Stegostoma tigrinum: one gene and its partner. The protein of the gene in region 2 interacts with the protein of the main gene of each other region in a pairwise test. Links are inferred from orthologs where the notes say so. Each region holds a gene or a part of one and is shown on either strand. Other genes may lie near its edges. The genes, in order: sh3yl1 and sh3d19.

What was found.
Region 1: the proteins of sh3d19 (region 2) and sh3yl1 interact in binary tests that used the Homo sapiens proteins (3 or more experiments, as listed by UniProt). The link is inferred for Stegostoma tigrinum from reciprocal best matches to the Homo sapiens genes SH3D19 and SH3YL1.

Annotation. Positions count from the first base shown.
Region 1 is NC_081357.1:108,024,197-108,032,128, forward strand, and holds the start of sh3yl1 (SH3 domain-containing YSC84-like protein 1), read right to left. Parts: upstream 3,148-7,932; 5' UTR 3,032-3,147; coding exon 3,031-3,031; intron 1-3,030. Other genes in the region: acp1 (low molecular weight phosphotyrosine protein phosphatase), read left to right, coding at 3,460-3,580, 5,355-5,428.
Region 2 is NC_081354.1:51,437,588-51,445,291, forward strand, and holds the start of sh3d19 (SH3 domain-containing protein 19), read right to left. Parts: upstream 3,189-7,704; 5' UTR 3,059-3,188; coding exon 2,935-3,058; intron 1-2,934. UniProt on the Homo sapiens protein: May play a role in regulating A disintegrin and metalloproteases (ADAMs) in the signaling of EGFR-ligand shedding. May be involved in suppression of Ras-induced cellular transformation and Ras-mediated activation of ELK1.

The DNA of each region.
Region 1 (7,932 bases), on a different chromosome or scaffold from region 2:
CTCAGCAACTTTGTGAACAGAAACCACTAAACTGCAAATCCACTTTTAATTAGTAAAAATATATGACAATGTTTCAGTATTGTTTACCTGTAGCTAGAATCTAATTATTTGTAAAAAATAGCGTTTGTTGTTTAGTACAAGTACCTAGTCCGAGCTCTCTGTCCACCCCACCAGCAACAACGTCCAACGTCTCATCCTTAAACACTTCTGCTAACTCCAATTAGACCTTACCACCCAGAACATCTTCCACTCCCCACTACTCTCCGCCCTGCACATGGACCATTTCCTTCATCACTCCTCACCTCAGACCATACTCCTCACCAACCACTTCAACTCACCTGATATCTTCCCCTGTAACAGTAAAAGATGCAGCACCTGTCCACACACCACCTCCCTCACCTCCATTCAGGGCCCTAAACAGTCCTTCCAAATGAGTCGGAGCTTTACCTGCGTCTTCTCCAACCTAGTTATTGCATCTGGTGCTCCCGACGTGGGCTTCTCCACTTCAGTGAGACCAAACATAGACGAGGTGACCATTTTGCCAAGCTTCCACCTGGAGTGTAATGGCCAACCTAACTTCCCATTTCAACTCCCCGCCACACTCCCCTTCTGACATGTCCATCCTCGGCTTCCTCCAGTGTCGCAGTAACTTAGAACACAAATTTGAAGAAGACCACCTTGTCTTCTGCCTGAGCACCCTACAGCCTGGAAGACTCAACAGTGAGTTCTCCAATTTCAAATAACCTTCCCATTCTTTTCCCCCCCTCTCTGTTTTCAGCCCCACCTCCTCCCTTCCATTCCACCCCACCTTCTGATCCTCCCTTCCAGCCACCAACCAAATTCATCCCTCCTATCGACCAACCAGGTCATACCCACTACAGTGTCCAACTACTGCCACCATCCCACTTCCACCTCTTCCCCCTTCTTTATCTGCAGCTTGCCGTACCCCTACATTCAGTTCTGAAGAAGAGTAATACCCAAAACATTGATTGTTCCTTCCCTCCAGATGCTGCCTGGCTTGCTGTGTTCTTCCAGCCTCCCATAGGTCTACATTGGATTCCAGCATCTGCAGTGTTTTGTCTCTAAGGACAGCAATTATGTTCCCCCGAGAACTTGTGAACCAGACAAGAATTGACATTGGTTCTATTCTTATCATGGGATCATTAATTCCAGATTTTCTCTTGAATTGAATTCAAATACCACCATCTACCACTACAAGATTCCATATCCAAGTCCCCACTAGAATAGTTAAACTTTCAGGGTGGGCATCAGATGGGCACAGAGGATCCACAAAGTAGGACCATATGCCCATGGTCACCAGGTGTAAAATACACAAATACCATTAATTGGCCATGCAAGGGCATCAATAAGCCCCAAGAAGGATAGTTCACCTGTTGTAAATTCAAAGTTGAAACAGACTTTTAATCATTAAGGAAATCAACATTTGTATGGAAAAGACAGAAAAATGGAGTTGAGAATTATCAGCCATGATCTCATTGAACGGTGTAACAGACTCGATGGGCTGAATGGCCTACTTCTGCTGCTGTGCCTTATGGTGTAATTGGGATGTCAAGGCTGGGGGTTTGTTAAGTATGCCTCTCCCATTCCTCCCATAACATTTCACAGAGGGTGGAGACGAATGAATAGGTGGCGGGAAGGTCATCTCCTGGATTTTACAAGCACCCTTCCTTCAATTCTAACAGCAGGGCTAGCATATTTTCAAGTTCAAAATTAATTATTTCACCATACCCAAAGTGTGTCCATAATTAACACAGTGGCCCCAAAATCAGAAATTCCCTCAACAACAAATATTCCTCCGTTCAACAATTTCCCAATGTCACTTTATCCATTTTTTCCTTGCCGATAAGTTATATTATATTCTCACATTTATTGCTTTGAATTTTGCTATTTTCAAGTGCTTACAATTCACAGTATCACTACTGGAAAACACATTTATAATAGCATTTACTTTATTGTTTTTAATGACCTAATTACTTACATGACAATGTTTACATCAACTTTTAACAAATCTGCTTTACCTTTTTTTTGTTTCTGCTTCTATTTATGCATCAAAATGAACAAGAAACATATGATTACAATCATTTGTTGTTGATTTTATTTTCAATCATCTTCTGGCTGACATGGATCAGAAATGCATTGGTTTTGTTGTGATTAACATGCAGAAATTAATAAATAATGTTAATTTCAGTATGAGGGATGCAAAACAATCTAAACAGTTCAATTTTAAAGAGAATTGAGTGTCTAAGCCTGGCTGTATATATGCAAGTCATAAATATTGTTTTCAAAACACTTTATAAAATGGAACATATTGAATAAAGTATGAATGCAAAGGAATTATGTTCAACATTCAGAAATCACAGGTTAGGATTCAGCCAAACTACAGTGCTAATTCTGGCAACAACATTTCAGAAAAGAATTCAAGGCTTGGATAAGTTAGAGGAAATTTACAGAGATAAAATCAGGTATAAAAGTTTTCATAGAGAGAGATTAGAGACATTGAGTACTTCTCCTCAATGTTGGGAACGTTTAATCGAGTATTTTTAATCATTAAGGTTACTGATAGAGTAATCAACTGAAAAAGTTTCTACCATGAAGGGTCAGGAATCAAAGGACAGAGACTTAAGTTAACCAGCAAAGGGACCAAGAGCGAGATGACAGGATAAAATGCTGGAATAAGTGATTTAGGATTTGGAATGCAATGCCCAAAGGGCGGAGTAAGCAAATTTGATATCTAAAAATGTTTTGAAAGTTAAATAGTAGAAAAAGTGTAATCATGCGGAAGAAGGGCAATAGGAGAGAGCACGAGAATAGGACACAATGAGGTGAACTACATCCTTTAATGCTTCTACGATTCAGTGGAACGAATGTGCTGAATGTCCGTCTAAACTGTGTCCATAACTCAAAAATACGTGTTTCACCACAAATATTACACTTCAGGAAATACCTCCCAAAGGATTTTTCCCAAAACGTGTACCAATCTACACAATAAAAGGCAAAAGGAAAACTTACTTTTACAAATAATGCTCTTCTAAAACGTTTAAATGCAGACTATTGGAGTACCAGCCCAAACTCACTTGCTGGGTTTACCTGTGCTAACTACACCTGGGCACCACCCACAGGTCCTCAAGGACCCCTGCTTAGGAGCTGTCCGAGGACGCGCCGAGGATTTAGGACGCTTTCCACCAACCCGCCTAGATCTTAAAACGGCTGATGCTAGTACGGTTTTTTTAAGAAAAAAAAAATGACGGTACGGAGGAATCGGGGCAAGCCGCTGCGCGCGTTGATTTCCAGCGAGCGGGTCCCAGGAGATTGCGCGGAGCAGGCAGAAGAGTAGACGGAGGCGAGTGACGCGGTCTCTTGGCAGGACCCGGTGAAGATGGCGGCCGGGCAGAAGTCGGTTCTGTTTGTCTGTTTGGGTGAGTGAGTGAGAATGAATGAATGAATGAACGAACAAACGGGGGCGGGGGTAACGGCTGCCGGTCCGTGCGCGCACCTAAACGTCTCTCAGCTCCAGCCGCCACCCAGCAGCGGAGGATTGTTGGAGGGGCCGTGTGCGAGGGTAATCGTTCGGTCCATTTCTTCATGGGATGTCGACGTCCCTGGCTAGGCCAAGGGCCATTTAAAAGTCATTCGCAGTGCTGCAGGTCTGGAGTCATGCGGTTAGGCCAGAGCAGGTGCTGGTGGCAGATTTCCTTCCCTGAAGGTTATTGCTTAAACCAGAGGGCCAACCAACAATGGCCACCGTTAGACTAGCTATTAAGTTTATCTGGTGGAACTCAAATTCTCCCCTCCACGGAGCATTTGCCTGGGGTGCTGGGTTAGTCAATTCAAAGAACGCCACCGTACCTTTGCTCTACAGATATCCAGTTAGGCCACCTCTCCAGTTCTTCAGTATGTACAACCTGCCCCATGGTCATAAAATTGCCGAGTTTTGACCTTGACTGTGCTACTGAAACTCTCATTCATACTATTGGTCATTTCTAGACATGATTATTCCAGTACACTTCTGGCTGGTCTCCCACAATCTACCCGATCTAAACTGAGATCCTCCAAAGTTCAGACGTGTGTGTCCTGATGCACGGTAATCCAATTGGCCCCCTGAGCTTGGCTGCCAGTTGTTGGCTCCCTGTTTAGCAACATGTCGGTTTTCAAATTCATCTTGTTTTTAAATTCATGGGTCACTCCTTACATTTGTTACCTCCAGCATCTCAATCCTTTAGGGTAGTTGTACTTTTCTAATTCCAGAAACCTGAATATGCCTGGATGTTTTTGCTCCCTTAATGATTCACCTTCCACTGTTAAGGTTCAATGCCTTGGCATTCCCTCCCTATACTGCCTCTGATTTCTCCAAGTAAATTGCTTATAAAAATCTACTACTTTGACCAAAGTTTTAGTCACTTGCTCGTGATAAGGTTTGACACCAATCTGCATAAGGCTTTATTTGATGACATACCTGTAAAGTGCCACAGATGATTTAATATGTCAGAGATGATATAAAAATACAATGTACTGTCCTAGACCCTGCAAATTTATTTTGAAGAATATATTTATTTCATTTTATTTAAACTTGGCTTTTCAGTTTTGAATAACACAGCCTTTTGAGGCAATCTATTCCACATCTTAGTATGTTAAAAAGAATCTCTTCACATCGTCTTTGGCCTTTCTGTTTTCTCTGGTCGTCATTCCTCCTGCATTATAGACCACTGATGAAGCAATTTATGTTAAATTGTGCATTCATTTTTCATATCCCCCTAAGATGACTGAATTGAGGAACCCTTTAGATCCAGACAAGGCTAATCAGAATATTAGATAAGACTATCAAAGGAGAGAAATCAAAGGTACAATCAATAGTGGTCTGATAGACTGTCAGGAGCAGGTCTGTGGAACCAAGTTGCATGTCATTCTTATGACCTGTCACTTAATGATCTATATATAGCACAAGGTCCCTAGACATATGTCGAGTCAGTAACATATGAATATAGATTGAAGTGTAAACCACTATTGGTGTTATCTGAGGTAGACTTGTTCAAAAAAAACAAATGATATTGTCTCTTAAATAGGAGATTTTGGTGTGATTGAAATTACAGGGCTGATTAAATAATTTTTTCTGCAAGAACTAATACTTCCTAAGTTCACTTCTGTTGAGAAACTTTTTCTGTAAATATTTTAATTGTGTATACAAACTGGAGGTGTATGGAAATCAAATTTGCATATAAATCATACTTCTGTTTAGCTTCTATCAAGTACAGGAATTTTATATACTTTAACTATGATAAACCTGCTATAAAACTTTAGAAAAAACTCACGCGATCATGTTTTTGAATTTTTTTAAGGCAACATTTGCCGATCTCCAATTGCAGAAGCTATCTTCAGGAAACTGGTAACGGATCGAGGCATTACAAACAAAGTAAGCCCTACTCGCTTTTTCAAAAAATCTTAGTTATTAAAATTCTAAATAAATAATTCGTAAGTGTATAAATCAAAGCATAAACCAGCTATGTTTTGAATATGGGGGAGAGAGATAATGGGAACTGCAGATGCTGGAGAATCCAAGATAACAAAGTGTAAAGCTGGATGAACACAGCAGGCCAAGCAGCATCTTGGAGCACAAAAGCTGACGTTTCGGGCCTAGACCCTTCATCGTCCTCTCTGATGAAGGGTCTAGGCCTGAAACATCAGCTTTCATGCTCCTGAGATGCTGCTTGGGCTGCTGTGTTCATCCAGCTTCACAATTTGTATCTATGTTTTGAATATGCTTGATATCAATTTCCTTGTTGTCCTTGTGCTGAATCTGCACTAGTGTAATTATTAGCAATGGACACACTCAGGATTTCTGATTTGATTCTGTACTGAAAAATTGTATAAGATTTCAAGTTTGCACTTAATTGTTTGTACTATCACTGGTCACAATGCAGTGGAAAATTTAACCTAAATGCAGCAAGTACATACTTTACATGTTATATTTTTAAGCAGTCTGTCCAGAAGTGTTATGTCACACCTGTGGTGCAGGTGGGACTTACCTAGTCCTTCTGGCTCATTATGTATTTACCCAAGAGGACTTTCTTACATTGAATCTATAGCGCATACCAACAATTTAGTTCAAATGGTTAATGTCACTACTTAATGTACACAAAATTGCTTTCATTCTTCATTCCTACCATTCCCACTGTCCATCAATTTGATTCTTTTCTCATGTCCACATTGACCATTCTCTTAAATGTGTCAATGATATCAACCATCCCGTGTGGCACAGAGTTCCAAGTCCTCAACATTCTCTATGGAAAGAAATTCTTCACTTAATAAATGGTCACTAAACATTAATAAAAACACTTTTTCTGGACTAATCTACATTTTGAAAGAGATTCTTCACATTTACTCCATTGAAAACTTTAATGAGTATGATGTCTTTTCATGCATCTCTTAGTCTTTGTCCCAGCAAAAAGAGACCTAACCTTTCAATCCAATTTGTAACTTACAGTTCTGGCGATATCCTTGTAAGTATTTTCTGCAATTGCTCCTCTTTTTAATTATATAGATCAGAACTTTGCATTACATAGAACATAAAACATTACAGCACAGTACAGGCCCTTTGGGCCTCGATGTTGTGCCGACCTGTTATACCAAGCTGAAGCCCATCTAACCTACACTATTCCATGTACGTCCATATGCTTGTCCAATGACGACTTAAATGTACTTGAAGTTGGCGAATCTACTACCGTTGCAGGCAAAGCGTTCCATTCCCTTACTACTCTGAGTAAAGAAACTACCTCTGACATCTGTCCTATATCTTTCACCACTCGATTTAAAGCTATGCCCCTTCATGCTGGCCATCACCGTCCTAGGAAAAAGGCTCTCCCTATCCACCCTATCTAACCCTCTGATTATTTTATATGTCTCAATTAAGTCACCTCTCAACCTTCCTCTCTCTAACGAAAACAGCCTCAAGTCCCTCAGCCTTTCCTTGTCAGACCTTCCCTCCATACCAGGCAACATCCTTGTAAATCTCCTCTGCACCCCTTCCAAAGCTTCCACATCCTTCTTATAATGCAGTGACCAGAACTGTACGCAATACTCCAAGTGCGGCCGCACCAGAGTTTTGTACAGCTGCAGCATAGCCTCATGGTTCCGGAACTCGATCCCTCTATTAATAAAAGCTAAAACACTGTATGCCTTCTTAACAGCCCTATCAACCTGGGTGGCACCTTTCAAGGATCTGTGTACATGGACACCGAGATCTCGCTGCTCATCTGCACTACCAAGAATCTTACCATTAACCCAGTACTTTGCATTCCGGTTACTCCTACCAAAGTGCATCACCTCTCACTTGTCCGCATTAATCTCCATTTGCCACCTCTCAGCCCAGCTCTGCAGCTTATCTATGTCTCTCTGTAACCTACAACATCCTTCTCACTATCCACAACTCCACCGACCTTGGTGTTGCCTGCAAATTTACTAACCCATCCTTCTACGCCCTCATCCAGGTCATTTATAAAAATGACCTGAACAGCAATGGACTCAACATCGACCCCTGCAGTACACCGGTTACCTCTCAGATTTGTTTTCAATACCTCTAGAAATGATGGAATGTCGCACCCCTTATGAGCATATCAAACCTGTTGCTGCTTTTAACAGCTTATGTAAAAATTTTAATATCCTTTGCTCTACTTCTCCTATAGCCAGCACCAGGAGAAGCACCAGCAATGTCTTCTCTTGCTGTTTCCATACTATTCTTCTGTTGCTCCCCAAGGATCCGGCCTTGGCCACCTCTTGTTTCTCATCTCCTTGGTGCCTTACTGTGAAATCCTCCAAAAGCACAGTGTTGGGTTTGACATTTAGACTGATGACACTCACTCTGTTTCACCACCATCTCTTAGTTCTCTGCTGTCGCAAAATCGTCAGATTGATTAGATG
Region 2 (7,704 bases):
AAATGTGCTATGTATAGAACTATCTACCAAAATGATCAAAAGCAAAACAGCATAAATGATATAGATGCTGGAAAACTGAAATTAAAATCAGAATTGTTGAACCATTTGATAAAACTTCATTAATTGAAAGGTTAACTGCTTCTCTCTCCACAGATGCTACAAGGCTTGCTGAATATTTCCAGGAGATTCTTTTCCTACTTCAGACCAGAAATTCTATGTTTAATTACAAATCTCTGCCAATTTCAGTTCTACAACTGGTCTCTTTTTTGCTCTTACTTCCACCAATTCCAAAGAAAAGTGAATCTAATGACCTAGATGAGATTAGAGTTTGGACGCTCCTTCTGACTAATCAGCCTATTGATATTTGCTTAGGGATGGTGCCTATGAAACTTTATCTCAACATAAGTTAACTTTGCAGCTTATTCTTATAATACAGGTCATTAAGAAGGATCAGTGCAAATGTAACATCTTTCAATTTATTTTTCATCATTTTGATAGGTCTTGTTAGGGAAACATAAATGAGAGACAACAGAGGAAATCTGTATGTGTCATCTAGTTGAATGAAAGAAATTTCAGCTGGATAATAAAATGAGAAAAGCTAGATGACAGAAAGGTTCATAATTATTCATTAACTACACTTATTAATTCAATAACAAAATAAAATTGTGAAAAAGTCACACTGAATTACATAGAGTCTTGATGAGACCACATCTAGATCACAGCACACAGTTTCAGTCTTCTTATTGAAGGATGGATATATTTGTCTGAGGGAATGCAATGAAAGTTCAATTTCTGGTTTCTAGGATGAGAAGATTGTCCTATGAGGAAAAGCTGAACAGTCCAAGTCTATATTCCCTGGGGTTTGGAAGCATGACCAGTGATCTCAATTAAACATATAAAATTCTTAAGGGATTTGATCGGATAGATGCTTGGAAAAAGTTCTACTCCCAGTCAGGGGAACAAAAGAGTCAAGATTTCCGTCTAAGAGATCAGTCATTTTGAACTTCTTTACACTTCTTCTTGCAAAAGACTGTGATTCTTTAGGATTATCTGTCCCAAGAGGGTGTTTGGATGCTCAGTCATTGATTACATTTGGGATACAGTCTGATTTATTTTGATACCAAGGCTATGAAGGGACAGGCAAAGGACTGGAAAGTGGAAGTGAAGTAGATAATCAGTCATGATTATGTTGAATAGTAAAGGATAACAAATAAATTCCTTTGGAGAGCTCTCTTAATGATCTGAAATTAATGTATAAGTACTGAGCAATGCAATTCGAGAGGTTTTGTACTAGTTCCTACCGGTGTTGAAGTATATGACCTCATGTCAGTAACTCTCAGAGCAACAGGTAGAGCACTGCAATTGGTCAATGTTGCTGCATTAGGGGAGGAGAAAACGATGGGAGATCTGCCTGTACTACTGCTCCTATTTCTATAAAATGGCCCAAATGGTAATTACGACTCTGTGGAGGTACATTAAGGAGACAACTGAAGTCTGTATCTTGTCCTTTTGGCAGATGCAACCCGTACACATGAAGAGTGGCCAGTTGGTTGATGGGCAGGAGGAACACAGGTGACAAAATAATCATGTTCCAGGGACACTTAGGAGAGTTGGGGTGGACCTTGAATAATCTTTCTTAGAAAGTTAACAGTCAGAAAGGTGCAAACCATCTTTATGTAATGAGTGTAGTAGTCTGGTTTTCCTGATTCACTAACAAGTATGTTAAGCTCCTACTGTTGCACAGTCCTGAACTTTCAAATGCAGGAAAGTTTTATGGTGGTGAAGTTCCTAAGGCTCAGCCAAACTGACTACAATTCAAGAGCTGTTTTGTTTCCAATACTTTGGATTTTTTTGAACTGAGGTAAATGCACGTGTCTGAAAAAAGTGTACAATTCAGTTATATAAGTGATTTGGAATGTATGCACATCTGTTAAAATCCCAGTTCAACAGTGGTGAGTTGGCTGATAGTTATCCATGAATTTTGGATTAAAAAAACCATACAGTCGCTTAATTGCACAGAACTGTACGTACACAGACAAGATTGAGCACAATTATGTTTTGTCTTCCTATCTGCTTTCAATCACTATCCTGGCTAACACAAAGAATAGAAATGTAGACAAAGGACTGGCAGACACATTGCTCACGCAAGTCAGTGTATTATGAAAATATAGGGCCACTGGGGTGGGGAGGCGGGAGATACGGCGCACTGGCCTATCACCCCCGATTGTGTAAGTCCACATTGAACCTCTCGTGGACAGTGGTACTGTCCCTATGAGCCAGAAGATCAGGGTTCAAGTCCGAACGTAGACATGTATTGAACAGAAATGATCTACAATGAATCCCTCAAAATTGATAAATCCTACTCAATCACCACAGCCCGTCCGAAAAAAAACTGATTGCGCACAGTTAACAGCCGACTAACACAAAACAATGGATATAAACCCAAAAGGAGAAGTCCGAACCTCGGGATCAAAGGGGAGTTACAAACTGTTGATGAGTCACCATGATCTTTTTACAGTTTTTTTTTTAACCCAATGACTCAATTCGTTGTACTGCGTTGTAATCCCTCCCTAACACTCCCCTTTCACTGCGAAAGACACAAAGTGCCCGCCACTTGTCAATAGGGCTACAGCTGTCGGCGTGGAATTAGTTTAGTTCTGAAAAAAATACATCGGGAGATTTTGATGTATTTGGAACATGACACACAATCCCGTTTTCCCACCGTTTAAAACATCGATAATTAACATAGCCTTAAATTTACCAAAAGCTTAAATGGAATTATCAAGCATGACGAAAAGTGACAGGAGCTTTTAAAAACCAGCCAACAACAAAAAAACTCAATAGTTGACAGATAACATCTGGTAAAACTCTTATTTCGCGGTAATTTGAAGAGAGTGAGAGACATGCACCGATAGAGAGGCTTCCCTGTTTTACCTGCCGACGAGCTGCCCAGCCGCCCAGCAGCAGCCGCGGAGTTGTGTCTGGAGCTGGGGTCCCTGTCGATCGCCCCTCGCACCTCCTCCTCTTCCTCCTCAAACCAGGCTTCCGCCATCATCATACGGAATATATTAGTGTGCAGAGCAGAGGTAGCGCTGCCAACACAACACAATTACTGAGAGACAGAGAGCGCGCAGCTTCCAGTCTAGTCAGCAGCTACAACCACCACCTCAACACCACACCGAAGGAAGTAGCTACCTTTTCAGCAACTTCCGAAATATTCCTCTGCCGACAGGAAACTCGGTGGCTAAGCGAAAACAAAAGGTGGCGGTAGCGCTTGGAGCTGATTTTCATCCAGCCCCAAACGTGACAATCAACTGTGTAACTTTTCCAAATCGCTGGCAGAGATTTACTTTTGATTCTGACCTGAACACACCTTTTTTAAAAAAAATAGTGTTTCCCTGTGAATTAAGTAAATTGTTGGTGGATACAATGACTCAGCGGGCTGTGCTGTGTGACACCTTTGCAGGAATAAACTGTTTTGCAAGCAGTAGATAAACTGTCTCCAGAAAAAGACAGTGCTGAAGTGTGTACATCCATTTTCAGCCATCTGTGCCCCAGTGAGTGAGCTGTGCCTCATCCTCATCCTGAGGTTCACAGCCTGGCAGGTTTCGGTCTTCAACCAACTGAATTCACTTTATTGAAAAAAGATTGAAGACACCCAATACAGTACGGTGCAAAGACTATGGACCCTGACAACATTGGCTGCAATAGTACTGGAGACTTGTGCACCCAAACTCGCCGCACCACTAGCCCAGTTGCTGCAGTACAATTACAACACTGGCATCTACCCAGAAATGCACAATTATGTCCTGTACACAAACAGTAGGGCAAATCCAATTTGGTCAAATACTGCCTCATCAGTAACATGATGGAAAGGGTGTCATCACAGTGACAGCAAGTTGGATTTACAAAGGAACAAACTATTCACCAATGTTCAGATCTGAATGTCATTATAACTGTGGTTCCAGCATGGACAAAAGTGCGAAATTCCAGAGGTGAGGTGAGAGACAGACTATCCTTGTCATCAAGTCAGTATTTGTCGGAGTGTGGCGGCAAAGGGTCCTGACAAACTGGAGTGAATTGGAATTCAGGGGAAAGCTCCACACTGTTTGGTGTCATACCTAGTACAGAAAGGTTATGGTTATTGTTGGTAGTCAACTATCTCAGCCTCAGGACACCACTTCAGGAGCTCCTCATGGTCATGTCTGAGGCCCAATTATGTTCAGTTGCATCAGCAATGGCATTCCCTCCACCATAAAATCAAAAGTGAAGATGTTAACTGAATGATCAGCACTGTTCACACTGCCTCCTGAACCAGGAATGTCCATATGTGGCAAGATCCAGAACACATACCATAAACGAATAATATAAAAAAAAACTCCCAATCATGTGTCAGTTTTGTACCCATATCTCATTATGCCTCTTACGTTCAAACATCTACCTAACTTTAAATGTTGGCACGGTCTTTGTTTCAACCACTGATGCTTGGTGTGTGTTCAACATCAGCAACAACAGCTTGTATTTAGATATGATATTTAATGTAATAAAATGTCTAAAGTTACTTCACAAAACAAATTTTGTACTGAGCCATAGAAAAAAAATTAAAATGTAGGATTCACTGCCTTGGCCAATATTAATTGCCTGTCCTTGACTGCTTTGAGGACGTGGTGATGAGGTGCCTTTTTGAACTCCTGCAGTCTTTTCAGTGTGGGTACACACACTTTGCTGTTAGAGATGAAGTTCCAGTATTATAACCCAGCAACACTGAAGGAATGCTTAAATATTTTCAAGTCAGGATGAGTAGAAGTTTGGAGAGAAACTTGCAGGTGGTGGCACTCTAATGTATCTCTTGCCCTTCCAGATAGTAATTGCCAAGGGTTTGAAAGGTGCTGACAAAGGATCTTTGGTGAATTTCTGCAGTGCATCTTGTGCATGGTACACACTGCTGCTACTATGATTGGATGGTGGATGGAGTCAACGCTTGTGGATGTTGTGCCAATGAATCAATTGAGGTGGTTTAACCTTGATGATATCAAACCTGTGTGTTGTACAAGTTGCACTATAAGTGGGGGAGTTGTCCACCACACTCTTGATTTCACAGAATCCCTACAATGTCAAAACAACCCCTTCAGCCCAATAAGTCCACACTGACTCACACAGCATCCCACCCAGACCCATTCCCCTATAACCCATCTAATCTACGCAGCCCTGAACACACTACAAGCAATTTAGCATGGCCATTCTACCAAACCTACACATCTTTGGACTGCGAGGGAAACCGGATCATCTGGAGGAAACCCATGCAGACACGGGGAGAATGTGCAAACTCCACACAGACAGTTGCCCAAGGGAGGAATCAAACCCAGGTCCCTGGCATGGTGAGGCAGCAGTGCTAACCACTGAGCCACCGTGCTGCCCTTTGTGCCTTGTGAATAGTGTACAGGCTCTGGGGAGTCAGGAAACAAGTTAGCCATTACAGTATTCCTAGCTTCTGACCTGCTTTTGTAGCCACAGATTTATAGGGCAAGCCCAGTTTAGTTGCTTGTCAATAGACACCCCCAGGATGTTGATAACGAAGTGTGGAGCTGGATGAACATAGCAGGCCAAGCAGCATCTTAGGAGCACAAAAGCTGACGTTTCGGGCCCAGACTCTTCATCAGAAAAGGCCTGAAACGTCAGCTTTTGTGTTCCTAAGATGCTGCTTGGCCTGCTGTGTTCATCCAGCTCCACACTTTGTTATCTCGGATTCTCCAGCATCTGCACTTCCCTTTATGTTGATAGTGGGGAATTTAGTGATGCCTAACATTGTTTTGCACAAATGTTACTTGTCAATTGTCATCGCAAGTCTGGATGTTGACCAAGTCTATTGAATCTATTGCATCGCAAATAATGCTGAACATTGTGCATTCATTAGTGAGCTTCCTACTTCTGACTTAATGATGGAGGGAAAGTCATTGATGAAGCAGCTGAAAATGGTTAGAGTTAGGACACGATCTTGGGGATCTCCTGCAGAAATGTCCTGGAGCTGAGATGACTGACCTCCAAAAATAATAACCATTTTCCTTTGTTCTAGTTATGACTCCAATCAGCAGAATTATCAAGGCAGATGATCATAACTTTCAAGGAACTTGTTAAAGGAAACGAGTGAGGAAGTTTAGGAAAAACTTTAGAATTGAGATCCAACGAAGCTGAAAGTGTAACTGCCAAAAGTGGAGCAGTGATAATTGGGTTGTGTAACAGGCCAGAATTGGAAGGTGACAGGGACATCAGTGATCAGTCATTATTTCTTCTGAACAGCCTTCCCTACCCTGAAAACTTTATTTGTGTGAAATTTCATTCTCTAAGAATTTAATAAATGTTGGAAATTTATTATGAAGTACAGTCATACCAGATTCAAAATGTTAACTTTGTTTCTCTCTCCACAGATGCTACCCACTGAATTTCTCCTGCACTTTCTTGATTCTATTTCAGATCACCAGCATCTTTTATTTCATTTTTGTTTACTGTTATGTTCAGTCATTAAACTTCCCTCTATTGATTTCATCATTTCTTCCCACATTTAATTTTCTGGTTTAATGTCTGCATAGTTTAGTGATAACTCTTCATTCTAATAAATTGACAACACTTTAACATCCCGTGCCCTGCTCACACATGTCACACTTCCATGGTAGAAGATGTCACATTGGATCAAATGCTTAATGACTTTAAAGCCTGCAAAATCATTGTGGACAGCAGTCAGCACAGTGAACGGTAAGTGCCGTTCCTTTGCTACTGACCACAAAATCTGGGACAATCTTTTGTTCTCAGGAGAAAAATTACGTCAACATTTTTTTCCAGTGATAGTAGTGTTGCTGCATTTCTGTGTATTCATGGACAAACAAAAAAGTTGCTTTTTCAATGAACACTGTGCACTTGTAACCAAAGTTCTGCTAAATTCATAACAACTTCTTGGAGTTACAATACATTAATGTATCCAACAAGTTGCAAAGAACAGAAAATAAGCATCACCAGAGAAAGATGCGGTGATGAATGATTCGAGGAATAAGTTTTAAAAGAGAGGACTTGGGAGGCATACTTTGGAATGTGGGGTAAATATAGTGAAGAGGCATGATGAGGAGTTAGGGGTGCAAAGGGGTCATACCAAATGACACATTGTATTGAATGCGAATGCAGTGACAGGAATAGCAAGATCCAGGGTAGATTGTTAGTACTAAAACATGATGCGTTCCGGAGTAAAATAGTGCAAATGTTGATTATCTAAAATTTAAACAGAAAATGCTGGAAATATTCTGTGGTCCAACAGCACCAATGGAGAGGGAAACAGTGTGTTTCAGGTCAATGTCCTTTAATCAGAAACCTCGGAAATATCATCAGTCTGAGACGTTAATTTTAATGTGTTAATTGAAAGGGTGCCAGTAATTATTGGCAAGAAGGGGACTGAGAGAAAATCACACTTGGACAAGATATTTGTTGCAATTTATGAAGGTTAGTACTTGGAAGTTCACCAGGAAAACTTTGGAGAAATTACAGCTGGAGGTGACAAAGACATAGATCAGCATTTTGTCAATATGGAGTAAGGCTGAATGGAGGGAGAATGTGTTACAGAAATATACTTTCAACAAAAGTGATATATTTGTCTCAGATTGATTTGGCTAGAAATTTGAAAGGAGGCATCATGAGACAGTCGCTAGTCACTGGAGTGAT